Oreochromis niloticus: one gene and its partners. The protein of the gene in region 2 purifies or fractionates together with the protein of the main gene of each other region. This does not show direct contact. Links are inferred from orthologs where the notes say so. Each region holds a gene or a part of one and is shown on either strand. Other genes may lie near its edges. The genes, in order: slmapa, stk3, map1b and vapal.

Evidence for each region.
Region 1: the proteins of stk3 (region 2) and slmapa purify together in Homo sapiens (affinity purification with western blotting; 3 studies listed by BioGRID and IntAct, with this or other methods). This does not show direct contact. The link is inferred for Oreochromis niloticus from reciprocal best matches to the Homo sapiens genes STK3 and SLMAP.
Region 3: the proteins of stk3 (region 2) and map1b purify together in Homo sapiens (affinity purification with mass spectrometry; 4 studies listed by BioGRID and IntAct, with this or other methods). This does not show direct contact. The link is inferred for Oreochromis niloticus from reciprocal best matches to the Homo sapiens genes STK3 and MAP1B.
Region 4: the proteins of stk3 (region 2) and vapal purify together in Homo sapiens (affinity purification with mass spectrometry; 4 studies listed by BioGRID and IntAct, counting the BioPlex papers as one, with this or other methods). This does not show direct contact. The link is inferred for Oreochromis niloticus from reciprocal best matches to the Homo sapiens genes STK3 and VAPA.

The regions. Positions count from the first base shown.
Region 1 is NC_031970.2:15,724,595-15,732,262, forward strand, and holds the start of slmapa (sarcolemma associated protein a), read right to left. Parts: upstream 3,177-7,668; 5' UTR 1,738-3,176; coding exon 1,540-1,737; intron 1-1,539. UniProt on the Homo sapiens protein: Associates with the striatin-interacting phosphatase and kinase (STRIPAK) core complex, forming the extended (SIKE1:SLMAP)STRIPAK complex.
Region 2 is NC_031985.2:19,957,385-19,965,656, reverse strand, and holds the start of stk3 (serine/threonine-protein kinase 3), read right to left. Parts: upstream 3,416-8,272; 5' UTR 3,277-3,415; coding exon 3,254-3,276; intron 947-3,253; coding exon 866-946; intron 741-865; coding exon 612-740; intron 176-611; coding exon 61-175; intron 1-60. Other genes in the region: polr2k (DNA-directed RNA polymerases I, II, and III subunit RPABC4), read left to right, coding at 3,940-4,000, 5,264-5,356, 5,533-5,555; spag1a (sperm-associated antigen 1A), read left to right, coding at 7,588-7,942. UniProt on the Homo sapiens protein: Stress-activated, pro-apoptotic kinase which, following caspase-cleavage, enters the nucleus and induces chromatin condensation followed by internucleosomal DNA fragmentation.
Region 3 is NC_031972.2:15,701,024-15,709,188, forward strand, and holds the start of map1b (microtubule-associated protein 1B), read left to right. Parts: upstream 1-4,825; 5' UTR 4,826-5,082; coding exon 5,083-5,266; intron 5,267-7,000; coding exon 7,001-7,102; intron 7,103-8,165. UniProt on the Homo sapiens protein: Facilitates tyrosination of alpha-tubulin in neuronal microtubules. Phosphorylated MAP1B is required for proper microtubule dynamics and plays a role in the cytoskeletal changes that accompany neuronal differentiation and neurite extension.
Region 4 is NC_031982.2:24,672,093-24,679,906, forward strand, and holds the start of vapal (VAMP (vesicle-associated membrane protein)-associated protein A, like), read right to left. Parts: upstream 3,529-7,814; 5' UTR 3,430-3,528; coding exon 3,372-3,429; intron 1-3,371. UniProt on the Homo sapiens protein: Endoplasmic reticulum (ER)-anchored protein that mediates the formation of contact sites between the ER and endosomes via interaction with FFAT motif-containing proteins such as STARD3 or WDR44.

The DNA of each region.
Region 1 (7,668 bases), on a different chromosome or scaffold from region 2:
TGTTATATAAATCTGTTGAACTTGACATTGTTTGCCTACATAAAATATGACAGGTAAAGGTAGGTGTACAGCACCTTATTTTCATTCAATTATTTGTAACTCTTTCCAGTGACGGAGCACTTTATTTTCAGTTTTCCAATGAGAGAAGATCTTGTAATGTACTGCAGTTTGCGGGAAAATTCTTAAGTTTAATAATTTATTTTATTATGAAAGTAAAACTTTGCATTGAAGCAGAGTGGGTATATGCTATCAGTTAAAATTGAAGAAAATTGCAACTGGTGCATCTGTAGATCCTGATCCTTTCCAATTATGTAATTTTAGATAGCAGATTAAGTCAACTACTTAAATAAATTTAAAAACATGTGTAAGCGTGTGAAGATTTTCTCCAAAATCTTTCAGGTGCATCAGTCCACAGAACAAAGAGTTATCAATTAAGTGGTTTTAAAGCCATATTTAATTTGCTAGGCAAGCTGGGCAATATCAGGAAAATGCACACATTTGTTAAGTAAGCCTCCCTACCTCAACTACACACTCAGTAATCCTGCTTAGTGCCCCACTCCCTTAAAAGTTTATTATGAGCCAGAAAAAGCCCTGACTACAGTCACAGCATCAGCTGTTCTTATGGAGGTTCCTAACAGAAATGACAAGGAAGCAATAAGAAGTGCTGGTTGAACTCTCTAAACTGTGGGGGGAAATACATTTTCTCGAGGGCTCACGTGAGAAAAAGAAGAGAAAACTGAGCAGAACTGAGTTCAGCTTATTGGTGTGGCCCTCCACAAGTGTCACAGTTTCTCACGTGGCCACCTTGGGAAAAATCAATTGCCCACCCCTGCTCTAAACACTTAAAAAAAAAAAAAAGTGCTTCACTACTTTCTTTATTACTAAAGAGACAATGCTTCCCCACAGTTCATAGTGACACAAACAAATCCATCAGCATAACTGACAAGAGTGACACAGATTATGCCAGTGTTAACGTTGTTAACATTGCTTCTTCATTTCATCCCACAACCTGCTGATACATTTCAAACTTTGAACAGCAGCCTGTTAAATCCACAGCAGAGCAATCATTATTAGTATTAATAATGATAGCTGTATTAAAATCTGCTCCCTTGTGCCATGAAGGTAAACATTATTTATAAATCTTCAAGTCACAATTATAAGGCATATTAAATTAATCCAAGTTGATGTAAGGGTTACCATGATTCAGTTTGGAATAAGTTGGATCTCCTGCTATATTTTAAGCTCTTAGGTAATAACCTTATTTACACAGTAAAAGAAAGGTTGTGAGCTAATTGGGATCATCCATGGAAAATATAAGTAAACAAGATGAGCAGCTAACATTGCAAAATTCCTCTTTATAGGCCTTTTATTCCTGTCTATTTAAAGATGCAAACCAATGAGGTGATATTTCTCACTGGTGGTTCTCTTTATATGGCCAACCCACAAGAAGACATGAAGTAAAGTATCCATCTACTGTAGGCCCACATAAACACCAAAGTAAAGCAATAGGAGGTCATTTTCAGTGCTGTTGCCGCTTACCTTGCCAGTCTTGTGGTCAAACCACACCAGAGCGTGATTCCTGGACAGCACCTTGCAGTCGAAGGTGGCGTTGTTCTGGGCTGGCCGGCACCGAGCCACCGACCTGCCGATCTTGACGGGCTCATCCAGGTACACATGCCGCTCCTGGAATGGGTGCGAGTTGGGTCGGCAGGCGAATATTGCCAGCGCTGAAGGCATTGATTTTGGCTTGAGAGTATTACTCCAACCAGAGACGAGGGGCAAGTTTTCTTGATCCAGAGTGGCAGGTTTTTCTGGTGCAGTCCCTCCTCCCAAAAAAATAGTAATAATCTACAATATCTGCGGCCTATCTGTAGGCTAAAACGTTAGTCCTCTAATCTTCTAGGCACTAACTAGTAAACATGGTCCTCTCTCATGTGTGAGAAATAAAAAACAAACCAACAGGTATAAAAAAAAAGACAGGACATTCCCCTCACTGACTGCCCACCGAAGCTACATAACGACGCTTATATGTGACAGCAGGCACTATGTACAGACCAAGCTGCCATGTGTCAAGACATACATGAGTGAGTATAGCACTGACAGCCCCTCACGTCCATCAAACTCCTTCTGTGCTGACTAAACTGTCTGTTTAACGCCTATCAAGAGCAGTAGGTCCAATTATTGCGCGCTTCTGAGCTGTGTTGTCTTCTCTTGCAGCAAGCTAACAGCAGGCACACACCCCAGCGTTCATCACCCTATACACACAAACACACACGCGTCTGTCGTTTACTAAAGTGTCATCTATAAGTGTAGTTGACATGTATGGCTCGTCATAATCTGAGTGACCTTGTTGCCCTGATGCAGGGAACCTTAGCTACCTTCCTATCTCCCTACCTTCACCACTCCCTCTACCAGAGAACACCTAGCGAGCCTGAACGCCAAAACACCCCTGAGTTATAAAACTAAAGCAGCTCAGTGCCCACTCTTCGTCTGAATTAGTCAGCGGAGACGTTTCAAAACCATCCACCGGGATGAACAGGGGGGGATTATCTGGTCGTCTTGTGCAACTGAAATGCTAATTGGCTAACTCGCTGGTGGACAGGCGAAGCGCTAACTCTCTTCTGGCGTTGTACCAGAAAGCTAGGCTAAGCTAGGCTAGGCTAATGAGTACTGACAAAGTTATCGTCCAGGTCCACAAATTTTTTCTCCCCATCTTTTTCAACCAGTCCGCTTACCAAATGGATACGATATACCATCCCTGTCACCTGGAGTAAATAAAAGCAACACGCTAGCGCTTCTTTTTGCTAACACAGAGCTCTGCAGGCGAGCGTTAGCATTGAAGGGAGCTACCTAGCAGCTAGCCGGCTAACTGACAGTCAGAGCAGAAACCGACGCGGAAAAATCAGGGGAGTTTCTTGACTGCGGGTCCTCACGCATCACACACCAGTCCGATTATTTTCTGGGGAAAGCCCCAGTAAGAAACACAAGTTATGCCGCTGTCGTCTGTTGCAGTGTACCTCGTGGTTGCCGCTATAAGTTTTATATTAATGCCGTCGCCTTCCAACAGTTTTGTGGAAGGAATCTAGAAGAAGTTGTCCTCCTCCGCAAGTCCCAGCCGCCATACTGTAACTAGAGAGCAGACAGCGGTGGTGCGTTCACTGAACGATAGACAGCCGGAGGGATGCATTCACTGACCAGGTGACATGAGCACCACCCACTGCTGAGCTCACTAAGTCAGACTCGGAAAAAGTAATGAGCTTAATAGATAAATACATAGATACATACAGAATTATGAATTATTAAAAAAAATAATAACCACGTGATTAACACTGACGATAAAATTATAAGCACTTTTTTAAATGTAAAAAAAAAGTACATACGGGTAAGGTGTTACAAAGTTGGTATTAAAGCACATCAACATATTTCACGTACAAACACTTCTTCAAATAATGATGATAAAGAAAATTACTTTATACAAAAATCCTATAATCTGATTACATCATCTTTACAAGAGTTCACATGAAAATCCAAACGTATTGCGCAAAGATTGGAGGACTAGAAACCACCCAGACAGTGAAAATACCTCAGACTAACACACAAATACAAATGTAGCTAACTCCCTCAGAGCTCAAAGGGACGTGTGAGGAAATTATTTCATAAGAAATTCTACTATAGACCCAAATCTATTTCTACTTAGTTTATATACAGGAGAACACAAATATATAAGCTAACATAAAAGCTAGAAGCATTGTTTTGGTGAAAAAAACCCTCATAAACCAAACCTTAAACACAAGATAAAACAAATGATGTCAAATCTTCCATGAAACGGTATCCTGAAAGGCAAAAGGGCTGAATTTTGTTTAGAATATGGATCTTTGAGAAAAGCTGCTTTTTGTAAACCACACAATTTCTCTGTTTTGTTGTTTTGTTTTGTTTTATTATTGTTTGCTGTGGTTTCCCTGTTTTACTGGAGTGGATTTTTTTATTTCAAGAACATGGACTGCTTTGTGTTAAATATGGAAACTGGATTATTGTTCAGTCTCTTTTTCAGAACTTTTCTTCTTGTTTTTTGTTGTTTTTCATTGTCCGTTACACAGGCCTGAATATATTAATTCCTTAAGAAATATGGAAGTCCTAATAAATGGTATAACCTAGAAAGGAAAAACAGAACAGATTTTTATCTACTTTGCTTAAAAAAAATCATCTGGTTTCTTTTCAAGTACCTTTTTGATTCTCATCACCTGCAGTTTATTAATCAGAGCAGTATTTTTCAGTTTGCATCAGATGGGCGTTATCCTAGCAATGCAGTTTAGGGGTAGGACAGCAGGTTGGGGGTGGTTTTACAGGAGATCAAATTCTGCTTCTGGCCCCAGAAATGTCCCTGTGGTGCTCTGGTGAACAGACAGCTGAGACTAAATCGATGGTGGATGAGACTGTAAAGCAGATAAAAACAAAGCAAAGCTTTGCTGTTTCTTCTTAGATTCAGCCATAATTTATAGGGCATGTGACTAAAGTATTCATAATTACTCTCCATAAGTGTTTGGAATTTTCCACATCAATTTTTTTTGTTGGTTATAAGGAAGTATAAAAAATATAATTGTTGCTTCTAGCAGCTGAACTGTGACCAGGCTTCAGTCTACACACTTTACTGAGAAAAGAAGAGCTAAAAATTTAATTGAACAGTTTGAACACTAACTTTTAAGACTGGGAATGTTGTTGTTTCATCAGTTTTGGGGGGAAAAAACACTTTTCTTGAAAGAGACAGACAGGTTTGGTGCTGTTCTCATTCATATTAAGTTAGTCAAGAGGTCACAGGCATTTTTTTAATATTCCTTTAAAATGAAGGAACTTATTTGCAGTATTTAAACTTTTTCTCAGAGTTTATTGAGTTGTTGCTTTCCTAACTAACCTCAAGCCATTGTTGCTAGTCCTTGTTTTCAATCAGCCTCAATAATACAGCAGAGCTGTAACGAAACATGCAGAAACCTTCCAGCATGATCAGAAACATATCTGAACCATTTAAAGGGCCACATGCACATTAAAGCAAATGACTTCCTCAAAACAAGAAACCCGAAAAGCAGCCTGGTGTCAGACAGAGTTATCAACTCCTTACACTCTGACCCTAATTTTTCAAAAGTGAGAAATATTCAGTGCATTCCACATTCACCTACTTCCAAAGTGTATGGAGAAGAGCAAGGGCCTAAAGAGGTTGAAGATGTAAAGCATTTCAGCCTCTTTTCCTCTAAATGTCCAAGACTGAGTAGGTTTGATGAGATCAGAATATTTAAATTCTTGCATGGCTGTTTAGTTTGGCCTCGTTCATATTACTAAACTGTAAGAAGATGCACGGGGAATCAATCTTCACAACAAATCCCAGCAAGAAAAACATATGTTGAGCTATGTAAGCCAGTAAATTAGTTCATCACAAGAAAAGGGCATGTTTCTGGGAATAAGACCTTGTACTGTTGCTTGAGATCTCAGTAGGTCTAAGAGGGCAGAGGATTGAAACAGGATTCACTTTGGGATCAGACTGATCATTAGGCTGTTCCAAATATACCAGAGTGAAGGACGAGATAAGGACTGAGTGACTGACAGACTCCTGCGATGTAAACATCAGACCTTATAGGACAGTGATATTAAAGTCATTTTAAACTGTGGGTAGATCATTCCCCAGACTGTGCTGTAAAACAGAAAGGTTCTGTTCTTTACGGAAAGAACATAATTTCTATAGCTGATAGTAAAAAAAACAGGACATTTTCTGTTATTTAATTTTGTCTGTTACTTAATTACAGATAGTATAATAAAGTCCAGATCCCAAATTGGATTTGGATTATAATTAAGTAACAAAGACTATACATATACTATAAACTAACAGAGATTGCACAAATACAGCAAATACTTTGGTGCAATATGAATGGCCATGGGAGAGGTTTATCAGCAAGACAAAAAGTTAAATTTATTAAAATACAGCGCAGTCCAAAATGTATGCCTTACTTCACATTTTCCAAAGCCATCCAGTGGGCCAGATCAGGGACTGTAGCGGCCCAATTCTGGCTCCTCTGCCTTGTATTTGATACCCTTGTTATAGGTTTTCATTTTAAAGTTTTGGAGTTTCCCGGTAAAGTGTTCCTGGTGCAGGTTTTGGTTGTGGGATAGACCCCATCGTGGTCCCTGCTGCATTGCCCAGCCCTCCTGCACAGAGAGCAGGGCACCAGCTGTCACTGTGCTAACAGTCTGACTATTATATGAGATTTAACAGCATCTTACTGTGTTTAGCTTCTTAGCCCAGTTTGACATCACTATGTCCATTTAACAGAGGCTGTTTGTGGGATACAAAGCCTTAGAAGCTGAACTCCATTACATCTTAGTTTAATTACAACACTCTTTAGTGATCTGATAAATGTTGGGGTTTGTGTGCTCCCAGATCTCTTTCATTGCATTTCATTATCTATCGATGGAAAGTGTTTTGGATATTGAATGTATTATCACTAATGTCAGGTTATCAATGTGAATATTTTACATTTGAAACTGTATACAAAAACATAAGAATGTATAAAAACATAAGAAACTATTACATTCATTATAACTTACATGCTTGTACCATGTGATATTTGAACATCCCCAAAAAGGTCTCACTTGGACTTTGGATTTTTTAATTGATTTATTTTCTGTTTAGTTGATAACTTAGCTCTTTAGTATGCACAGTTTTTTTGTTTTGTTTCGTTTTGTTTTTTTCATGGGATAACATATACTTTATTTATGAAAAAAAAACCCCGAAATCATAATAAAATACGAAAAAAGAATAATTGTGTTAAAAAGCTAAACATATGACAATAAAGTATGTAAAAAAGCAATGTACATTTACATTTATTTAGTGACAGATCAAATACGGTTTTCTGTGGCTCAAGATATAAAATGCAGGAATATTTAAAACCAAACACAATATATAAGTCATTTAGTATGAATTGGTTTAAATTTGCATTACTTTACACAGTCAGAAATAGGGGTACGGAAGGGGTACATTACTGTGCCCCAAGGTACAAAAATGACATTAATACAGTCTAAGGACAAATATTGGACCTCGGGGTAACTGTCTGTACCTTTTTTAGCGTCTGAAAGGTACATACATGTTCCTTAATTGTGAAAAGTACTTATTTGTACCCATTCTTTCAAAAGATAAAGTACAGGTTGATTAAGCTCTTTTTGATTAGAGGTTTTTTTTTTTTAATTCTTTTTGACAGTAATTTATTTGCAACTGTATTGATTTAAGCATATATTTTAGTGTTTTTATTTTATTTTTTATTATTTTCATTGCTGTTGTTGTTTTTGTATTCCCTGAACCCCCCTTATTTTTAAGCTGCTTTAAGAACAATGAATTTATTTGAAAGAAAAAAAGTAAAAATGCATTTAAACATTTTTTTTAAGAGTGATTTTTTTTTAAAGTATAACTATTTGGATGAATTGCAAAAAAGCACCCTTATTGAACTCTGAGTGCGAGTTGAGCCCATCCTCACAACATCAAACAAAAAGTAGAAGAAGAAACTCAACGAATAGCTGGTGGATTCTAGAACTTTCTGTAAATGCAGCAGGTGCCATTTTTGTTTTATCAACGGACGGAGATGGATTAGAACTTGCAAGTCCTGGTGTGCTCTGTTCACTTTCAACCGA
Region 2 (8,272 bases):
CTTTTAAATTAAGTTTTAGCACAGTTACACACGTCGCTGCGGCTCAGCGTAGACACCCACCGTCTTGTTGCGCAGTCTGATGATGTCAGAGACAGAGCCAGCGCCGCAGTACTCCATCACAATCCACAGGTCTGTGTTCTTGAAGTAGCTGCCATAGTATTTCACCACATAGGGGCTGGGGAGGAAATGCAACATGGAGTGGTTATCAAAGGAGAAGATACAGAGCAGAAGTGAGAAAAAAAATCTCATGGATCCAGACACGAGAGAGCTACATAGGCTATGATGATGATGTCATACTTCCTCCATTATTATCTCTGTAAAATGTCTTTTGAGGGTTTTCCTGGCTCAGAATGGACCTTTGAGAGGAAGCTAAGTGCAACTGGTCTGCGTACAGTTAACACTAAGAGGCTCTTATCTAATTAAACAGAACAACTGTGCACTTCCCTGTTATTTGGGGCAGCTGATAAACAAAAAATGTATTCTGAGCCTGCAAATAAACAATGATTTTCTCTCAAAACTGTTTACTGGACGCCACATTTTTCATATTGAGGAAAAACTCTGCTTTTAAGGGGAAAACTGGCGGTATGGTTAAAGACATACTGCTGTCCCACCTGTCACACTGCTGCATGATGGAGATCTCCTTGATGATTTCCTGCAGATCGGACTCCACAGGCACCTGCTTGATGGCCACCACCTGGCCGGACTCCTTATGAATGGCTTTAAACACGCTGCCATAGGAACTAGAAACACACACAAAGCTTAAAGTCACATGTACGGCCGCAGTGCTTTATTACAACTGACAGCACTTAAAAAGAGATTCATTACGCAATGGTCAGCTGTAAAAATGGAAGTTAAGACTTCTTACCCTTCACCGAGTTTCTCGAGAACATCAAACACTTCCTCTGGCTGTTTCGTCAAACTATCTTCACTCAGCTTTTTCAGCTTACTGTAAAAAGTGAATAAGACAGGAATATAAAAGTGAAAGCAATGATAAGTGGAAAAGGCAAATCTAAACATTACAAAACAGGAGACACGGCATTGTTTCAGCATTTGTAAATAAATGAACGGCTGTGGGTGATTTTTAGTCTGGACATAAATGTCAAACACACTGGGACTGCAACTTGTTATAATTTCCGTTTGTTGTAATTTAAAGATATTTTTAGGTTTGTGCATCGGTGCTTTCAAACACCACAATATGAGGTAATACTTCTTCACAGATAAAAATCAGCACCGCAGCCAAACAACAGGAATAAGTCATTATTTTACTCAGAGCAGGAATGTCATTTTAGCCAGTTAAGTTCAATGTGATCGACAAAAAATGTTATTGTGAAAGTGAAAGCACAACCCAACATGCACTGTTCACTATTTTCTGACTTGATCAAAAATATTATCACGTGCAATACAAGACTAAAGGAGGTCGTTTCTCCCTGAGCAACACTTAGTGACGCAAGCTTCAATAAGGTTCCTCAGTCTGGCTCTAGTGAATAAATCAAACACAATGAATCAAAAGATTCAATCATTTAAAAATGATCCTACATGAGCTCTGACAAAGACACAAACAGATTGTGTGTTTTTTTCCCCATTATAAGGGTATTTCAATACTACCTCTTAGAAAAGCTTGTGCTATATGAAGCTGGAAAGGCCCTCACATCCTGCTGTTCCTGTTAATTTCCACTAAGCAGAACAGAAACGTTTAAGTATTGTGTCCTCAAAGTCTTTCAGAGAAGCCTTTCACTGACTGTGAGAAGAGCTGAAAATATTGCTGTTTTTCCTTGAATCCAAAATAAAAAACTTATTCAGTCTGAATTTCACATAGTGTTTTATAATTATATGTTTTTGGTAATTTACTTCAATATCTATTATTATATTTATGATGATGATGATGATTATTATTATCATCATCACTTATTTTGTTCAAATATTTATTTTTGGAGACTCATTCTTTAATTTCATTGTATATTTATTAATGTTATAGTAAACTTTTAAGCAATTTTTACTCTATATTTATTTTGTCTTTATATTACGCAATTTTATTTTTGTCAATGATTTCCAAAGCAGTTCTAATTTCTTTTGATTTTGTTATTATTCATTTTTTAAAATATTTTACTATTCTAAAAATCTTTCCTACCAAATTCTGTCAACCTAAATGTTTAATAATATTACTTTATTATTATTATTATTTCATCATCCTTTATAGTGTTGTAATAAAAGGGGTGCTCATATATGGAATAAATAAATATTTCTCATCTCAAGATGAACATGTGTGATCTCATAGTTTAAAAATAGTACAGCAATCATACAAAGACTTCAGATCTGTCGCCTTGTGGTTAAAAAGCTCTTCGGTAAAATTAACTTGCGTTGTCTTTTTTTTGAGCCTGTGAACTCGTGAACCACCACAGCACAGAAACCAACTAAGTAATCAGTAACGTGTAATACTGGTTTGTCTTCAGGAGTTGTGCCAAAAAATACCGTGTCCGGTATTTAAACAGTTCTAAATGAATGCCTATGACCTATCAAACATACCTCTCTCTTATGAATGATTTCAAGTCACTTTGAGCAAGCAGTAGAAGCTGCATTTAGTTTTTGGCAAAGTGACTTTTATATATCTTTTATTTATTTGGATAAAAAGTGTTATTGACATTCAAAACGTCTTTTTTCCAATAGAGATTGCGCAAACAGGCAAGCCAAAACATGGAGGACCTTTAACTTTTACAAGGACATTTTAAGTGGCTAAGAAAGTCAATAACAATAACGCAGACCCATAAAGAGAGATCACGTCTTTATTATATATATATACACATATATATAAAAACCCCTTCATAAATCCTAATAACTAAAGCCTGTTTACAAATACTTTCAACAATATTAGACATAAAAAGATACACAGAAACAATGCAATTCATTTTTTGGAGGACACTCGGGAAACTAGAGGCTGATTCAGTTAACATGCGACTGAATGATATTTAAAGTGCAAATCAAACCACTGAACAAAACACTCTTACAGAAACTTGGGAACACAAAACGACCACATCATTAGCCAAATCTATTAGAAACTCAATTGAGGGCTCAAGAAAGAGCGTCTCTGTGTGAGGAACGATCTGTACATCCGTGAACAGAACTGAAAGTTTGAGAGAAGACTGTCAACGCTAAGTTAGCTTAGCATCAGCGAGCTCGGCGACATCCACCGCCTACGTTAGCTGTTCGGCTAGCTCGATAATAATAGCATTTTTAGCGCAGTTAAAATAACACAAACCTTTTGGGCGCAGACGTCTCCATGATGTACGACTTCAAAACTAAAAAGAAAACAGACTAATAGGGACTCGTGGCACTTTTGGGACCAGCAGTCAGGGCGAGAACATTGTCGACTGAGTCGTTGTTGTCAAAAACTAAAGCAGCGCCAGCTGAGGGCTCGTCGGATGACGGTGTTACGGCCTCACCGCAGCGCCCCCTGCTGGAGCGGAGTACAAACAAAACGGCTAAAAAATACTCTCCTTAGAAACAGCGAATAATTTGTATCTATTAAACAACTGAGACTTGTGAATAAAATGTTACTGATAATAGAGCTGTCCACAAAATACAACTATGCTTTCCTGGTCTCATTCAAAGACATCGTCCGACCAATCACAAGCGACTTTGCTGTGAGGTGAACGACTGTTCTACGCATGTGCAGGCAGGAGCCTTGTGGAGTATGAAAAGAGAGGTAAACAGCTAGCAGCTATCGTGTTTAAACGGTGAGAAACCTTGTTGTTGTCTTTCCATCCTGTGTACTTCATATCTGTTAGGTTTATGCAGCGTTTTTAGATACTTTAAAGATATTTGTTGTTTGCTCTAAATACCATATGGGTTGTTTTAGTCTGTTTCGGGCAATACCATGCTGTTTCTGTTAGCATGTTGTTAACAGTTATATCTCTGTCTCTATTTTTTTGTTAAGAATCAGAAATGGATACGCAGAAAGATCTACAGCCGCCCAAGCAGCAGCCTATGATCTACATATGTGGAGGTATATTACAACTTTTACTTTAATAATACACCCGCGGGTAATGCAAACAGTACGATCTTACCTGCTCTAATGCAAACCTTTCATCACTGCCATCACGGCTGCTTCTCCTCTGGATGTTTTTTTTTTTTACATTACACCGCAGAGACCTTAAATATTGTTCATATTGTGTTCCGTCGTAGTAACAATTCTCTCATAATAAGTTAACAAATAATAAACTACAGCTAAATTTAGATTCTAAAACTAGCCTGTCCGACATTAATAAATTAAGGATTAATCCGTAATTAATGCTTCAGAGATAACTGAGAGTGTATTTTTTCAGGTATTACAGCACTAGTTTTTAGAGAAAACCATCTATCACACTATATCATGTCCTGTTTTGCCTAACACATGAAAATGTACATTATAGAAAATTCGCATAACTACCGTCTATAATTATAAATATGAGTTCAGTATTAGTACTAAATAACACTTGGAGCACAAGGTCTGCCTATTGTAAACCGGTCTGTGCATTCAAAGCTGTGATACCTGGCATGTGTGGGATTTCCATTCACTGAAATTACATCTCAGGTGCCTTTATAGCCTCATGACCCCTACCCCTTTTCTAATCTCTGTTTTAATCATAGTTAGCTTGGAATAAGATAATTTTATTGTTCTGTATGTATGTATGATTTTTTTTTTTTTTTTTTTTTTACCTTGTGGGTATTTGTGCTTCCAGGTGCAAAACACAAGTACTAACTGAGAGTTACATGATGTTCTTGTGTTTGAATAGTGTTTTTACTACTTAATCCACCTTGGTGGAGACCTCTGGATGACATAACATACACATTAGGCTCACTAAATGTTTACAGTGGGAAATGTTAAACCTCCTTCACAGTCTGATACATTGTTACTATTTTGGAACCAATAACACATATTTCACCATGATTACGTAATGTTGGTCATCTTGCATCTGGAAAAGGAACCACCCTGATTTTAGTACTAACAAGTTTTGTGGCAAGTGTAAAAACTCAGTAACAATCTGAATGAACTGAAATGAATACACCTTACACATTATGGACTAAAATATTGGGCCACACCTCTTTGAATTCAGAGGCGTGCGCTAAGTGAAAAAAAGTTACCAACACTCTGCTGACTCAGTAGCTGCAGAGGTCCAAACCTTCTCTGTCATTAACATCAGCAGAAAAACTATGTGCTGCCCGCTGCTCTGCTCTGCTCAAACTGCACTTGAACACATAACACCATGATTTCTCTCATCACTTGCAGAATGTCACACCGAGAACGAAATCAAAGCCCGCGATCCGATCAGATGCAGAGAGTGTGGCTACAGGATCATGTACAAGAAGAGAACAAAGAGATGTATCCTTTTGACATTGTGTGCATGAAGACAACTTGTGAAAACATTAAAAATGACCAACTGACAGTTAATTTCAGACATGAATCTTTATGCTAAAGAGTGTTCAGATATTTTGTTTTTGATTGATATTTTTTGGTTGCTACGTTTGCTGTGGATTTCCTTGACTCTCTGATTTCAGTGGTTGTATTCGATGCCCGATGAAGAAGAGGAGAGGAGCAGTTTTGACTCTGTTTACTGTTTGTAGTGTGGGATCATGTAAATAAATAGACCTGGCTTCAGATTTGTGAACTACTCATTTTATTCTCCGTCTAAACAATACATTTGCTTGTCAAAGATGTATGAAAGTTTGTTTTGGTTTATTAAAAAATAAGTATTTTAATTGGTCGTGACTGTTTTTCCAGTTTTTCTAACTGATGAGCCGATTTAATTGGTAGCATCTCCATGACGACAGGAAAATATGTGTTTCAGCTCTTGTAGACTTTTCTATATTCATGTAGTCACGTGTAATTGGTCTGTTGCTATGAGATGTTTGCAGCTTTTCGACCCCTGAAATGAAGTCTGCCTTTCAGAATAATAAAATGCAGCAGGGGGAAGTAACCTGATTTTGTGTAATGCAAACTGGTTTGGGGCCTTTTTCATAGTAATAAAGATTAAATGACACTTCGATGTTTTCTTCCCCTCACCCCCAAAGGTGATTTTAATGACTTTGACTGTGGGATAATTGTTGGTACCAGACTGGCTGATCTACGAGGATTTTCCCACAGCCATCTCCCAAAAAGAGAAAATATCCAGTGAGCGGCAGTTCTTTTGGGGAAATTGCATCATTGATGCCAGGGAGGATTGGACAGAGTGTTTTGAGGTGATTTAAAAAAAGAAAGAAAGAAAAAGGCAACAGTAACTCAAATGACAACTGCTTACAAGCAAGGTATTCGGAAGAGCGTATCTGAATGCACAATGTAAACAAAAGACCGCATTGGGTCCCTCAGTTTCCTGTCCACAAAGAGCAGGAAACATACTGGCTCACCAAAATTGCACAATAGAAGAAGAATTAAAGAGTTAAGGCAACTCTGATTGCAAAAGGGGGACCAACCCAGTACAAGCAAGGTGTACTTAAGTGTCCATTGAGTGTATTTTTGATCTAAAACAGCAATATGATAGCTTTAACTTCTTTAAATTACACGGTCTCCCCAAGTTTAGCTTTAAGTTGATTTAAATCTAAATCAGTTTTTTTTAGTGCATTTAGTCCCTTAATATCTGCATGGCAACTTTTTAGTTTGGCTTAGCACAAAGATTTCAAACTGTTGCACTCTCTCTACTCAAAGGTGCAAAAATCCTCATACCAGCACGTCTACGTCTCACTGGTTTAATTTGTACAAATGTTGAAAATCTGTGACAGATTCTTCTGACTTACTTGCTGCTGGGCAGCTGGAGGAGACTCCAGCAGTGTCTTTGTTTTTTGTACACATTACACAAGTAAGACACAACAAATAATAGATAATAATAAAAAACTAAAATTATGTGTAAAACATTTGTGTGAACCTGTGATTTGATGCAATTACATGCCAAAATGTCGACCAATAGAAAATAATCCTAATGAAATTTCCCGGTGCTGAACAGAGAGCTGCTTCCAGCTAAGATGCTGCTGAGAGAGTTATGAAAAACGTGTTCTCATCAACAAAGTAATTACTTTGCTGAACTACCCTTTAGGTGACAAACAGGACTGGATTCAATGATTGTTTTCATTACTGGACTGGATTTTCCATCTACAAAATGTAATTTTACATGATTAATAATCTGTTTGTTTGCTGTTGATCAGATTTGCAGCTCACTCCAATTATCCTAAGAATAATTAATCATCTATATCTTTCCACTGTGTCAAAATGTTGCCTGTCAGTTACTTCTCCTCCAATAATACAGCGTAAATCACGTATAATCGAAATTATAATATTTTTTTTCTTAAAATTTGATGAATTAAAGCATTAAAGTGTCTCGCATGTGTGTGTCTGGTCCAGGCTTCCTCTGCTCTGAAGTCTAAACTGAGGCTCTCCCTTCAGAGCTGTCCTACTGCAGCACTGCATCGCTGTGGCACTCCCCCCTCCCCCTCGCTGACATCACATCTGACGCCTCATGTCGGGGGTGTGTCCAGCAGAAATCCCCATCCAGGCTCAGATGTAGCTGCGGCTCTGAGAGAGGGAGAGGCAGAGTTTGAGCACACTGCAGAGGGAGTGCAGCTATGGGGAACGCGCAGGAGAAACCTCCGGGCGGCGGAGGAGGGGCAGCGAGCGCGGATCAGGCCACAGCAGGGAGTGGGACGAGGAGCCGGGGTGGAAGCAGCGGGGGAAAGCCTCACATGGCTCCAGAGAAGGGAACGGTCAATGGCACTCAGAGAGAAAACAGCCCTGCTGGTGGGCAAGAGAAGAAGGAGGACAGCCCTGCAGTGGACACAAGTTACCTGGATGCTCCCGCCGGGGCCCTGCCTCCTCACCTGGCCCGGCTCAAGAATGAAGGGAACCATCTCTTCAAACACGGACAGTTTGGAGACGCATTGGAGAAGTACACCCAGGCCATTGAGGGGTGTGCTGAAGCAGGTGGGGGGTGACATGAGCGGCTTCTTTTCTCTTACACAGCATGTGATCCTGGGATAAACAAATCTGATTATAGCAACGATACTATAGCATAGTTAGAGGAGCTTCATCTAACTGCTAATTTCGTGATTAATTAATTAAACTATGTATAGTTTTAGAAAATTACAGTAATTTTGCTACCAGAAAGTTATTTCTTGTTTATTTTCCTCATTTGATTTCTTGGAGTAGCTTTTCCAGCTCTGTGACTCAGTGTAGAGTCGCCAAAAACAGCAGATGGGTGTCACAGAGCCTGACAGAAACCCTCTCGTAGCATCTGTGACTTAGCCCTGGTAA
Region 3 (8,165 bases), on a different chromosome or scaffold from region 2:
GTTAAAGCAAGTGCTAGAAAAATATTAATGAAGGTTCTGTTTTATTCAGGTAAAGTATAATGAAGCCGATGTTACCTTCTTTTTTTTAATCAAAAAGGGTGCTGTGACATAAATTAACTAAAAGTACTGGATTATGGATTTTTCTGTGCCGCTCTCAATAAAAAATTCCCTTCCTAAATCTCACACTGTCATCAGAACGACATCGTGCTCAGAAGGGTTTAACAGCTTTGTAAGCTAACAAAGTAGAGAACATAGTAAACACTTTAATGAAAACAAAACAACATAATAATTATGATCGTACCGGCCTGGCTGTATTGCTGTCAACCTGTAATACTGATACCCAACAGACTCTATATGTCACTTCAGAGACAGACAAACTGACAAAAGGCGGCGTGCCAAATAAAGGACATTTAGCCATATTTTCTGTGTTTCAAGCTTTACATTTATAATTAAGGTACCACTGATAGAGGGAAATCTTCTGTGTTTCATCACCAAATATAGGGCTTTTACAGTGTTTTAACAGCAGCTTTGAAAGATTTAATGGTGACTTTTTTCAGTCTATTTTATTTATTTTGTATTTGAATATGAACAATCTGAACTTTGAATTTAATTCAGTCCGAACAGATTTTGCTTCCTGTTCATTTCTTTGTGGAACAGAGCTAGAAATATTTCCTTCTGGCACACATTTTTTTTTCAATGTGTATTTTTAAGTTGTTGCTTTTTTAAACATATACCCAATTTAGTCTGTTAGTGTGTCTTATTAGACTACTGTTCTTGCCATTTACTAGGACCAAAAGAAAACAGGAAAATGGCATGACCGCAGCTGATAACCTTTCATTTACTGTGTTTCATGAAGGTCAGCTAAGTCATTTAGTGCCTCAGAATGAAATTAATACAGTACGTCTCGATTGCTGGTAGAAGAGTGAGATATAAGAACTTCTCTGGCAGAAACCACTGGCCATATAATAGAAGTATAAATGCAGCTTGATTTTGAGTTTCAGTGCTACCTGGTTTCATAGTAAAGAGATATTGTGCATCATCAGCATAGAAAATAGTTACTAAATATGTGCCCCAGTAATATATTTAAAGTGGAAAATAAAGAGAAACAAAAATGGACTTTTGGTTGACACAAAAGCTGGCAGAGTGAGATGGAAAAAATTTCCTTAATAGAATTAAGTGATCAAACTGTATCAAATGCAAAGTAGAAGAAAAAATATATGAAGCACTCCTACAGCGCAAACCTCCACCAAGATAGCTCATTCACTGGGCAGTATTTACTTTCAAGGGAAAGGTACTGTATTTTGTATATATTCATGTTGTTTTCTGTGTTCTTTTTAAACAAATTTTAGAAGAGTGTTCTCCTCTTTGTTGTGATCACTATTGTGGTTGATTTGTGCTGTTTGATATGTTTGATTGTGTTGTTTTATGTTTATCTGTTTTATATTATTGTGAAGCACTTTGTGGTTTTTATCCTGTGAAGAGTGCTATATAAAGTTAAATTATATGTGTTACTCAAAAAGTAATTATTATAAATATCACACAGAAGATTTTTCTTTAAAGTAATTTAGTGTGTTACTTTATTACTTGAAAGATAAGGTAATTTATAATACTGCTCATTACATTACTTTCATGTTACTCTATAAAATAGCTGAAACACACTGTCTACTAATTGCCATTTAACAATGTAAACCCGGGGCTACAGTCCCACAGACCAACACAAATCCCTATCCGAATGAAAACACACATATGATCTTTTTCATAGTATTTATGTATGACCAGAAAGCTGAAAGTGCAAAGAAAGAATGAAAATCAGCACAAAGAGAGTTTAAAGCGATGGCCACAGTGATTCTGCTTTAGAAACATGAAAAGGTAGAAACAGAGGCTGCAGCCTGGCTGTGCCTCAATTTGTCACCCGTTGAAGTTCAGGGTCTGGCTGCTGGGCTGGGGTCAGCATTCTCTCAGCTTGCACTAGGTTCTTAGCTAGCTTAGCATTAGTATGCTGTCTGACTAGCTAAGCAGGTGCTCCATAAATACCTCGGAGTAAACAGAGATAATAAACTGGACTGGATAAAAAAAAAACATAGTCTATAGGAAGGTGCAGAGTCGTCTGCATTTCTGAGGTAACTGAGGTCTTTTTACATCTATCGGACAATGTTCAGGATTTTCTGAGTCTGTTGTGGCCAGTGGTATCGTCTATGTTGTTGCATGCTGGGGCAGCAGGCTGAGGGTCGCAGATGCCAATAGACTCAATAAACTGATCCACAAGGCCAGTAATGTTGTAGGGATGGAGCTGGACTCCCTCAAGGTGGTGTCAGAGAGGCGGATGTTGTCCAAGATAAGGACAATGCTGGACAACACCTCCCACCCACTCCGTGACATGCTGGCCGGTCACAGGAGCACGTTCAGTGAGACACTGAGATTACACAACTGCACCACTGAACAACAGGGAAATCTTTCCTGCCTGTGGCTCTCTCCCTGTAGAACTCCTCCATCTAATGCACAGCACACAGTGAAATAGTTACACCCTTTTGCACATGCTCTACAATGAAAATAACAAAGTTTTACAGTTTAGAGTAAAATGTCAGTCATACATATCTATTTTGCAATATTATGGATATTTATAATTAAGCTATTTTTATATGTTAGAGTAAATTAAATTTAGTAACTTTGCAATGTACTTGATTAATCCCAAAGGAAATTATGTGGTTAGAGTGGCTCCAAGACAATAAGAACAGTAACAGACTGAAATCAATTAAATAATACAACAGTTCAAATTTTATTTGTATATGTGATGAATAAAATTGTGTTATTTAATTGATTTCAGTCTGTTACTGTTCTTATTGTCTTGGAGCCACTGTAACCACATAATTTCCTTTGGGATTAATAAAGTATTCTGATTAAGCAGGTGACTTGTTTTAAAAAGCTATAAAATTATGTAACATTTAACAGACCAAATTTCAAAACCAGATAAGTAACAATATGAAAGAAACATGCAGTATAAATGGCTGGAAGCTGGTAAGTTTGATAAAACCTACACCACCCTCTGTTGTCTGATAGCCACTGTATGCATCTTTTGTTCCTTTCCAGAATACATTTCTTTGGTTTCCAGTGAATTCAACAGCTTATTTCACTTATTTTTTTTAAGTAACATCCAACAAAATGGGGCTTTTGTAAGACTCATGTGAGTACTTGGGTTTTAAATCATTCAAATCTTTCAATGTTCATTTTTACATTTTTTAATGGCTTGTACATACACACACACACACACACACACACACACACACACACACACACACACACACACACACACACACACACCAATCATACATTCCTGTCTATCAAATTGCCATTGGCTCTCTATTCATCACCATCCCCCTCAATCCACACACACACACACACACACACACACACACACACACATCCATTTCGTCCTTGTCTGTATCTGGGAGACTTCTGGGGGCACCGTGTTGTATTTTTAATGGCATCCTTCTTTCCCAGCTGTGTATGATGAATGTTTGATATGACCTCCAATGGCATTTGGAGAATAGAACCAAACCCAACCCACCACGCCACAAAGCCTCTGAAATATTCACATCCAGGAGCTGCTGAGTGGATTCCTGCCCCTGGTAGCATTTTTAAGTCAATAACACACCTGCAGTGGCCCCATTAGGCTTGCCAGAGGGAAATCCAGAATGAAAGTCAGGATATGTGCGCACATGTATATGTGTATCTGTCTGACTCGTTTTTTGGTCTACAGCTCCTTTTCTGTCTCATTTTTTCCTTGCAATGCTCAAATGTAGTTTTAAAGTTGTTTGCGTTCACAGAGGCCAAAGTTTAGCAAGCAGGATTATTCTCCTGGGGAAACAGAGCATCTTTTATGTTCATATTAAAAGACAGAACTGTTTATTATTCACTGTCAACTGCATTTAATGTCTAGACACACCACACACACACACACACACACACACACTTGCAAAGAAAATATGACAGACTGGAATCCTGTGATCTCAACTCTTTTCATTTGCTTTCTGTTAGTAGTTTTCTGACTTAACCCACCCTAATATCTGATACTGCTTTCACATGAAGACTTGTGTTTTGTGAGATGTAAGATTCCAAGAATCAAAGAATTTTCCTCGAGTGACTCCCTTGAAACTTTTCATTAGACTCTATGGGAGATCAAAGAGGGACCGTGAACAGATGTATAAAGGATATTTGTAGGATTAGATGCCAAACACTTTTTTTTTTTGTTTGAAGTGATTTGATGTGTCTGGACATATAATACTTAGCCCTGCAACAGACTGCCGACCTGTTGGTGTGTACTACACCTCTCACCCAGTGACAGTCTCCCCAGCAATCATAAAGTGAAGTGGTTATCAAAATGCATGGATGGATGGATGGGAGGATAGAAGGATAGCTACCATGGCTTCAGTCAATCTCTCAGGGGTTTTCTGCCCTGATCTTTGAGTACAGCCCTTGCAATTTGCATTCATTCTCTTTGAATATCATAGTTTTTGCATGTAAAATATATAATAATTAAATAAAAAATAATTAAATGACTAAAAAAATGAAATCTCGGTTTAAAGTAAATAAAAAGTCTGTTTAAAAACTGAATCTCAAAAAGCACATCAGAATGGTCTATAAAGATTTTCACTGCGCTAACAGAACTACAACTCGTTTACTACAACCTAACATCAGAAACTGAACTCAGAGGGGTGAAACATCAGTGCTCTAAGTATTTTTTAACAGGAATAACAAGTAGTGAGGAGTCCAGCACCGATGGAAACAATGAAAAGCATAAAATCTCAGTGACTTCCGGATGCGTTTGATTCGTTGCGGATGACATCAGCTGTGGAGTGAGTATGCGAAAAAAAACTCCGGCGCCCTCGTCTCTCCCCGGTTACCGAATGTGACACTGTGTCTGCTGGTATAAAAAGCAAGGGCCACTCCTATCAAGGTTGCACTTGCATGTCTGGAGACCACTCCAAAGCTCTGCAGCGAATAAAGGGAGGAGGCTGGGATCCGCGAACGAGAGACAGCGACAGAGCGGGGGCGTAAAAAAGAGAAGATAGACAGCAGGAGAGGATGGCAACCCTGGTAGAATCTGCAGACATGGAGACTTTAGGCGGCCAGAGCAACACCGGGGCGTCGCTGACATCCTCGAGCCCCTCGCAGCACTTTAATGACAGCAAATTCTACCTGCTGGTTGTTATCGGAGAGATCGTAACGGAGGAGCATCTGAAGTGTGCCATTGCGGACATAGAGAAAGGTAAGATGGGGCTTTGTGAAAGGGGGTGTAGGCCAGAGAGCTCCGCTTGACGTGTTCAAAACAACTGGAACGGAGACGGACAGACTGGAAGTTTGGCAGCATAAAGTCCCATAATCTGTGCGGGTTTTTTTTTAAAAAAATTTAATTTTTTATTTTTTTTGGAGCTGTAGTTATTTGCAGTGCTTTGCTTTGTGCACGGTGGTGAGGAATTACGCGTGTCAACGAGTAATGAACACAATCTGAGTGTTATTTGTTGGGCAGCTGTTTGAAGTAGACTGCGGTGGGGCTGTCTGTCAGCCCCTCCCAGTAACATCACTGTGAGCTAGAGGAAAATAATCACTACATCTTCGCCCTCGGGTATTTTACCCACCATCAACCGCGTTCAGGGGCAGTTCTGTATCATTTCTTTTCTGTCACATAATATCAGTGGGTTCAGTTGTTGCCAGCCACAACACACGTGGACCTGGTCCTGTTATGAAGCTGACGAGCAATGATTCAGCATCCAGCTCGGATTGTGCGTCAGTGCAGTGAAGCGAATCGCGTCTCTGAGGGTCTCTCGCAGCACCTTGCTTTTGTGTCACAGTTCACGGCCTGAAGGAGGAAACGAGTTTTCTCTCGGTTTGTGTCGTGAAGTTGACAGTTTGCGTTTCGAGACTGCTACAGTACGCGTCCTTGAATTGCAATCAACGAATTTCCCCCTTCATCCCCGTGGCAATATTTCTCCATCACTACCCTCCTGCATCCAGCTTTCTCTCTCATCCCACACACCGGCTTGTGGGCGTGGCTCGGTCCGCACTGCGGTCCCTACGGAAAGCCAGGAGGACCCATCTTCAAAGTGAAGCGGGGCGTTTTTAGAAAGGCTACAGCTGCGGTAGAGGCCTGCCTCACTGGCCATAGTGCACTGTTTGTAAGGAGGGGTACAATGGCGCAGTATCTGCGTGGGCGTAAAATTAAGATGGGTTCATATTATCTATACCCTGCTCACTTCTAGATTTTCCATGCACTATCAGAGTAAAAGCACAGAGTAGGTGTGGCTCTTTGTTAAACGTTAAATCTGCTGATGCTGTATAGAGATGTACCAAACAAAAAATGATTAAATAATTTTGTTTTAATTAAAAAAAATAAGAGTTTACTTTTGACATGATTCTGTTGGGGCCGCAATCATCTCTCTCTCTCTCTCTCTCTCTGTCTCTGTGTGTGTGTGTGTGTGTGTGTGTGTGTGTGTATTGTCAAGTTTACACTTGACCTTGGGTGGGAAAAAAATTCAATACATACATTTATGCTGTCCCCTTCATAGTGTCTTTGAATTTAAAAAAAATCTTATTTAATGGTGTTTCTCATTTTAACTTATGCTCTCATTTATTTTTTAAAGTTTAGGCCCTGTTGCTAAAATAAGTGTTTTCAGCCCATCGTCTGTTGTTCACCTCAGAGTAACACTGATTCACTGCTGCTATCAAATAACTTCACGGAAGCCTTCATTAGGCCTTGGCTTTGCAAAATTATAGAGAGGATGACACCGCAATGAGTCAGCACAACAGAGGTCGTCCCTGTGTCTGGCACCGTGGCCAAACAGAAACAGGGATATAGATATTTCCTATTATAGATTTCATTCCTCTTGCCAAATTAAAAGTCAATCCTTGTTCGTGCCAAGATTTTCCTGTAAATTTTAGGAAGAGAATTCACGAGGGAAGGTGACTTTTCAGTTTTGTTTGTGCTTGTGTGCTTGTGTTGCAGGGATCCGCTCGTGGGACGCCAACTTAATTGACTGCAACCTGGACCAGGAACTCAAGCTGTTTGTGTCCAGACACTCGGCTCGCTTCTCTGCAGATGTCAGAGGTAAACTGGAAATTTAAGCCACAACATTTCACACCGATTAATGTCTTGAGATTTTTCTAACAGCTTCCATTGTGTCGTAAACAGAAACCAAAGACATACGCTTTTGCAGTCGTGTGAGAAATAATACGCTTAATGTATTAAAAGTAAAAACAATCACTATATAGAAGACCCCCTTTTTATTTTAATTTATTTCAATCACGATCTACCCCTGTCATAAAATATGTTGTGAAGCACAGTACATGAGTATTTACAGTTTCATAGCTGCATTTCTCAGCAGTGTCCATCATTACATCTAAGTCAGCTATATCTTCCTCGTGGTATACTAAACACGTAAGCTTTATTACCTACCACAGGATAGAACCTGTCAGCATTTTCTTACAAGGCACTTTTACCTTTGTGTCATTTGCAAAGTGAATGAGTCTGTATGAAGATGAAACACATTCAGTGTGGCAGGACATGTGGTCTATCAGTAGGCAACATGGCCTTGACAGTCCCCAGCAGTTAAAGCTTCTGCTCCACATTGAACACGACCAGCTTCATATGTGGTTAGATGTTTAATAGATTGATCGAGCTGATAAATGTGGCTGCAAACTAAATCAGCAGGTCGATTCTAATGCATTAATATCCCTGTATCAAATCTCAGAAATGAAATGCAGTCAGTTGAGAGGCAGGATTCATCTGAAATGACATTTAACAGCACTCCAGCTTCGCACTCCCTTTCATCCCGTGTTCCCATCCTCCACTCTTGCCATTTCCTCCAGTGTGCTGTTGCCTTGCAACTAGATGCACAGTTGATTTGGGAGTAATTAGCAATGTAGAATCCCTAGTGGCGGTGTCTGTCCATGAAAATAAAGAAGGGAGGGGAACGGGGAGGACTTGGGGAGCAAGAGGGTGAGGAGAAGGGCTTTTAAAGAAAGACAATGACACAGGCGGGTGGGGTGGTGAGAGGAGAGGAAATAATGGAGTAAGAACAGGCTGAAGAGAGATTGGGGTGATAAATAAGCAAGGTCACACAGAGAGAAATGCAGGAGGATGAAGAGAGAGCTTTGAGAGTCAATGTCTT
Region 4 (7,814 bases), on a different chromosome or scaffold from region 2:
TAAAAATCACAGGTGAGTCACAACATGCCTTCATACAAACTTGAAAAACCTCATTGTTAATGGCGTGTACTTTGAGGATCTTTGTTCTTGCTACACAGATGAGTTATAAAGAATGACTTGCTTCCTGACAGAACAATACCAGGTTGTTCAAAACAGAGCCTACCTGTAGTAGTATCAGAACCAGAAACAATGTCTATTATAGCTTCAGCACTATGATGCTGGAAAGACAAGGTAAAAACCATGACTTTTTTATTTTATAGACCTAAACAGAAAACTAGCACAGATGAGTAACTGCTTCTATAGGCTGGAAATGAACCGAGTCCAAAATATTTCTACCTTCCATGCGTTTTACACACTGATCACTACTACACCAAAGCCTAAAACTGGAAAACAGTTGTGTGCATCAGATATCCCACCCACATACTGTAGCTTGCATCCACTGCCCAACACTGAGATGCTACCTTTGCTCAAGCAGCACCTCTCTCATCTTGTTGCATGTATGCTGAGTTAGGGTCCCTCAGGCAAGTCCTGCTCTAAAAATACCAACCAAGGAAAGGAGGGCTGCCCCCTCTAGCTTGCTGGAGGAGTCCCAGCAGAGGCTCTAAAACAGTCCAGCTCTTCGATACATGCAGACCGATTTAGCTCTGTCTCTGTGACAGTAAAGAAGTTGTGGTCATCTTCCTTCTCCTCAGATTGCTTCTTGACATGAAAAACTGAAGCCACTTAAATGTGGGCCATACAAAAATGTAAAAAAAAAAAAAAAAAAAACAAAGGGGGGGGTCACACACAGCTCCCAAAGTTAAGCGATGGATTCTTTGGGGATTTAGTACTTGGGATTAGTTGTTTTTCCCCCCCAATGTAAGATTTAATATGATGCTGGTTCAATAACAGGTTAAGTGGCCAAAGGGCTTAACCCGTATTCAGACTTGAGTCTTTAAACATGACCGGTTAAAAATATGACAAAACTCTGGTTTTTATGAAAGCAAATGGGCCACTATACCTGAATTCTTTTGTTAAGTAATACAGAGTCATAAACATATGCAGTCCCTACAAAAGGACTATTTTGATACAACCAAAACCCTGATATACAACATACAATATGCTTGCAGGTTCTACTGCAAGGACAAACATATTTTCATTATAAATTACATTTTATATCAAATTGTTAGAATGGGGTTTATGACCCACGAATTGGGATTTTCTTACATGTGCAGTGGATTAGACATTTTGGCCTCGGTGCTAAAGAATAAAATGAATCAATGATGATCAGTAAACAATGATCAGTATGAACAGCATCATACTAATGCAATTTAGCTTTGCATCCAATCCAGAATATAAAAGGCCAAAAGTTTAATCTGATGAGGGAAAATGTAAACCGTGTGACTGATCAGTAACAGGAATAAGTCAAATTAGAGTAGAATTTCTTAATCGGGTAAAAAAAAGTAGAGGTCCATGATCAGATTATGACGAACCATGTGTCTACCATCAGGCTAAATACCCATGAAATTTTAACGTTCAGCTGGAGAAAATTTCATTTATGTATTCTGGTTTACCTTGTTGCTCCCAAAAAAACAACCTGTCTGAGACAAATAACACTATTGGTGGCTTTCCAACAATATGATTGAAGAATTTTATCATAATAGCACCATTAACCTGTTGATTGATGCTGTTATTATGACATAACAAATGTGAGTTTAATCAAATGGTTACTACCCTTTTCCAGATGTCTTTAAACTTAAGCCAGAGCAAGTTTTTACTGATTTACATCCTTATCCCTGTCCAATTACAATGTCAGCCTGCTGGAAAAGGCTCCATTCACCATCACACTTTCTGTTGCACCTTGCATGATAAAAACATTCCCGGATTTTAATCAATGTACACAAATTTTATGAGTTTCAGTTTTAACATGAGGGTTTTTTTGGGGGGGGGTTGCCTTTATTCTACTTGTGTCACCGTCAGGCAAAATAATACAGGCAAAATAATAATAATTTTAGTTTCACCCTGGACACCTCATCACCAAAACATTCAAATTATTACACCCCACCCAAAGACACAGTGGGTCTGGAATGTGAGCTTGTGTCCTTCCTAACGATCCTGTCAGGCTACAACCAGTATCAATTCACACCTTGTCCCAACACCAGTGTCCTCTTATAACCTCGTCCAGGACAGTGGTACATTCAACAGAAAGAGAAATAACTGTCTAGTTCGCAAAAATGCCTCCAGCAGACACAGAGCTTGGTAACTGGGACAAATACGAGAAGTGCTGTGCGGATTTCTGGGTCAAAATGAATAATGATGAGGATAAATAGTCCAACTGTGGAGATTGTTGTGTCACCCATGGCCTGGTAGGGCTAGCTTCATTGAAATCAGCGCCGTTTACTGCCACTTCATTCACTTGACCACAAGAGCAACAGTTGGACTCACAAATGACCAAAAGTTATGTTCTATCTATGACTTTTAAAAAATGTGATTTTTGGTCTCTTCAGGTCTGTCAGACGCAAAACAATACGGTTATACAACTACACATCAACTTTGGCATTAGCAGGCTAGCCAATGCTATCATTAGCCAACGGTTAACTGACACATCACTGGACGTTATCACTACCAGGAAAAGCAATCAGTGCCAACCGAATACGTGAAGCACCCTGCTTTCCCATGAATGTGCCGTCCTGTTTTGTCCAGGATGCGAACACACGCTTAAAATTAGCCAACATTTAGCTAATAGGTTTAGATCAACTGAACTAATGTTAGCCCGGTGTTGCTATTAAAAAAAATAAATAAACTATACATGCTGTTACAGTTCACGTTAGCTAACCAAGTTTGTCATTCCAACTGTCAGCCACTTTACTGGCTTCACAAGTTCCTGCCACAGGTGTATCAAGATGAACGCCGGATTTTTCATTCTGAAATTAATTTCTTTCCAGGGAATAGCCTAAGCCCCAAGAAACAACAGTTTACTCCTGCTAACACAACTAGCAACAGCATAGTAGCTGATATTAAATGTGAAGACATACACAAACATGCTTCTTAACGTGTAGACTTTAACTCTCCTTTTTTTAAGCAGTCACTGACAGCCACATCCTTCCAGCTCTTTGCCTGGTACTGTCAGTAAGCTGGTACTGAATAGCAGGCCACCTGGGCGCACGCCTGCCCGGCTATCCACGTCACTATAGCGCCGGGCTGCAGCGGCCCGTCCGGCTCCCTGGCTAACTTAAAATGGCGGTGAATGCTAGCTAGCTTGCTAGCACGAAATTCGCTTGAGGGAGTGTGAAATCATTGCTTCACCACCACTACTACTACTACTACTACTCGCTGGACATTTTACACGGCAACAACTAAATAAATAAATAAATAATAGTTCATTCACATACCTTTAAATCTGAGGTCAGACGGAGGGTCGAGGATAAGGATCTGATCCAACTTTGACATGTTGGCTGAAGGGATGCACTTGATTTCGGTATCGTGGAGTTAACTGACAAGTGGAAATCCTGGATCCCTTCTGCCTCTACTGAGTCAAACGCTGACTGAGCTCAGCGAGCATGTGGGTACAAATACTTGAACGCGCGAGTGCACAGCCCTCTGTTGCGCGCACTCGTGGTCTGGCAACTGATGCGATTATGGTACAGTAAACGAGTTATAATGTGTGGACACTGAGATAGACGTACAGGGAAGGAAAAACATGTTATAAAATAATCTTATAAAATCCCGACGTGACCGGTACCAAGTTAAATTGTGCTTTATTGATTTAATCGAGAATTTTAATCAAGGAAGTCTCATAATCGCGTGTCTGCAATATACTGTACATGCACATTAAATTCACTCTGCAATAGTCTAGTTAAACCTGTTAGAAGTATTAGTGAACGTACATGTAACGTAAATGTAAGTGTTGTTTGTGATTTAAAGGACATGTTGAGGTTGCTGTGTAGCACGGGTCACACGTTGCCCTGGTAACAGTACCGGTGTTGTGCCAAAAACTGGTCAGCCTTTAAACCTGCTTGTTTACGACGTAAACAATGGGTACATTCAAACTAAACCACAGATTACTAAACCGGTAGTCCCTTAGTAGTATCTTATTTTCACAGAAGTGATTTTTTTCCATCAGTGCAAAGTTTCATGATTCGGGATATCAGTCAATCCCTGCACAACCTCAGTTCCTAAAACATTAGGCTATTTTAGATTTGGAGATCTTATAACCCCATGATTTTAACCACTATTTTTAACAACAGTTGTATCCCTCTGGGAACTGGGGAGACCAGTTGGTGGACTTTAGGGAGAGGAATGTCGCCTGGTTGTTGTCTGATATACGACTCTAGCTGCTCAAAAATTCCAGGTCTTCTTCTTTGTTTTTACTTTTCATTTCATTATGCTCATAATGCTTTCCATGGGTGAAAAGTCTGATATACAGGCAGGCCAGGTCAGCACCTGGACTCTTCTCCTACTAAGGCAGTAATCAGATTAGCATAGTCTGAAATATGCAAAGCTTTTCCTGAAAGAGGACGTCATCTGGATGGGAGCTTTATGTTGCTCTAAAAAGTGTATATACCTTTCAGCAGTGATGATTGCTTTTCCACCTGGAAAAAGGTGTTACACAAGCTCCCAGTTACACAAGCATTAATTCCCAGACAGTGATTTCTGGAAGTGTTCCTGAGCCCACTCAGTGATTTCCATGACAGAATCATGACTTTTTTTTGATGCAGTGCTGCTTGAACGCAGACTGGTGACCTTCTACCCATCTTTACTTCTCAGAACTTTGCTGCTCTAAGATAATTTTTTAAAATCCAGTCACTGTCACTGACCAACTAACCTAACTACTGTAGTTTGAAAATCTTCCTTCAGCTGTTTCTTTTTTAATTAATACTGAAGTCAGTGCAGAAAAACACCAACTGGCCTAGGAGAACTCTTTCTAAAAGAGAAAAAAAACACTTTTTATTCGAGAGACAAAACTCAACACATTTTGGGCCATCATGTGAGCGTAGATGAAAAGGGGAATGCTAAAAGGGGGAATTTAAGATGCTATTTGCGAGGAATCCAGGGATTTTGTGCAGTGTGTGTACTCATTGTGAACTATTAATATCTGGCTTGCTATCTTAGAGACCATTGACAACTGCGATCCATCGTTTTTATGGGAATTGAGGACTTCTCCTCAGTAAGCTGTACTGAATAGGACACAGTCTACATATGGTTTGAGGTGTTTAAAGCAGTTCAGAGTGTCACGCTTGTGCATGTTCAGAAATAATGACCATTTCTTGCTGTTAAAGATAAAAGGTTGTTTCATAGTGATATCGTTTCTTTAGCCAAAAGCCAGACATTTGTTCTTCCATAATATACCTTCCTTACCAGTATATTGTTCAGTCATTTCCATATAACTCCAGTATGAGGTGGTTTAAATGAGGCTGCATAGACTGTTTTCACAATGTCAAGATCTTAATGTCATGATACAACCCTCTTTCAGTGACTGCATCTTCCTCACTCATTTACTTATTATCAAAACTTAAAAGTCTAGAGATCTTGAAAAAAGAGGCTTGTTCAGTTCTAAAAAGGACAGCTGTGGGTCATTACCAACACCTTAAGGGGGGTTAAAAGTGAAAGTACTACGAGACCTCGTTGGTGTCATAAGCCACTGTTCAATGATGATCATTCACATCAGTGGACACAGATGGCCTGTTTTACTCCTCTTTCAAACCGTCTGTCTTCTCAGTCTAAAGTTTGAACTCTGGCATCCTCCAAAGAGTGGCCTTTATCCTTTAGATGCAGATGTGCAGCTCAGTCTTGTCCTGTCGAGGTGGCTCTTCTACACTGTGCCATGCGTTTATGGAATAGCTGTTTGTTTTCTCCAGTGAGAACATAATGATACTTAGCTTGTGTTTGGGAGTTTTGTCTTTGGGATGAACCAGCTTTTGTCAAGTGTGTCGCTGGGTCTGAAGTATTCTGGGATGTCAAGCTTGTTGGCTAAAATTCTCCAGAGTTTCTTAGACAATGAGCGGGATTCACCCCCTTTTACTTTTACAACTGAAGAAGGCTCCTGGATGATTGATAGATGAAATATCATCAGTTCAGTTGCCTCTTTGTTTTCAACCTCTCTAGATTACTGGATGACTGAGAACCTGTACAGACATCAGCTTAGTTTGTAATCCTTTGACAGTGTTTGAGATCTTTGATGACACTTCAGTATTTCATTATTGGAAAGAGTAAAATTTGAAGAGAAATTGAATGTTTACTTCTTTATTACATTGATTAATATACAGATGTTAATCTGGTCTACAGAGTAAACAGAGAAGCATGACCACAGCATACAGTATGAGTGTGACTGTAAAGGAATGGCAGTGTTATGTATATATTTGTTCAGACACGAGTAATTAATTCTAACAGTATGCACATTTTAGCCATGTCATACATTTTGTTTAGAAAAACATACAAAAGGCACTTGTGTAGCAACAATTGCTGGGAATCTCAACTCACAAAGGGGGTCTGAACAACGTGAACTGAGAAATCCATTCTGCACTGTATTTAGGTTGTTTTCAATCATAACTCTTCCAGCTGATATAACATTGTTTACATCTGGCGCTAAGAAGCTCTTAAGTTCATTTCAGTTTTCATCTTAAGCCAATTACTGTGTGGTACAGTTTAGTGGAAGATTGTAGTCCCATGCCCCACATTTGCTACAAATTAACCTCTGAGCTAAAAAACTGCGTCATATACCTAAAGGTATGCACCGTATGTTTTTCAGATAAGCAAGGCCACACAGACTAGAAGATTTCTGAATGAAGGCTGGTATAATTTCCCATATATAGGGCGGTAAATATCATTACATTTATGGCATTACAAAGTCAAAATTTGATTCTATTATCCCATCATACCTGTTGATAAAAACTGTACACGTTATAATGTAAATAACTAACTCAACTACAAATGTAAACACATCTTTAAGCTATGACAATGCAAAACTAATTGGTCAGTATTGTAATTTTCATGTTCCTTCAAATAATTTCTACTGTATGCTGAAGTTAAGGAGAATTGCAATAGTTAACATTTTTACTATTAAAGCAACTCCCAGCTGATACTGTGTTAATATGCAAAGTGGTGCTGTGAGCATGATGAACATGATAAACAGTTAGGGCTGCGCTCCCACAGTTCCTTTAGAGTTTGGTTAGTATATGCAATATAACAGCTGTACACATGTTTAAAGTCAAATACATGCAGTTCTTGTCTATTATCAACAATACAAATGTGACCCCTTTTTCAGGTAAAATGCACGGAAAAACAAAAACACGATTGGCAGCTGTATACAGTCGTTCCCTGCAATGAAATCTCAATACACTTCAGCATGTAGAAAACATCTTTAACAAATCACTATGTAAACAGTTCTAGCATTGGTCACAGTGTTTCAGCTGGGGGTGTCATGCTGTAATTGCGATTCAAGCTGTTCCCACTGCAGCACTACAGTTAAAACCTTTCTAAAGCAAATGTGCGTGAAAAACACGTGAGGAATGTAAAGCCGTCGCATTTGAGCTACAGAGATAAATGCTCGTCTAAGTTTGTTCTTAACGACCTCTTAATTAAATGGGGCACATGTGCACAAATGCTTCATGGGTGGAGGAGTTAGACTTGCTAAAAATTGATATTAAGAACTTCAATGTGTTTAAGAGCCACAGTGCTATGATAGTCTACAGAGAAGGAGAGTCTTGAAAACAACTATCAAATTCCTGTCTTTATAAAACACGTCAGCTCCGCTTGTTTTTAATTTGTGCTCAATTTTAAAGTCAGAGTATAAAATGAGTTGAAATTTAGAATGAGCTTCCATATGTATCACACCA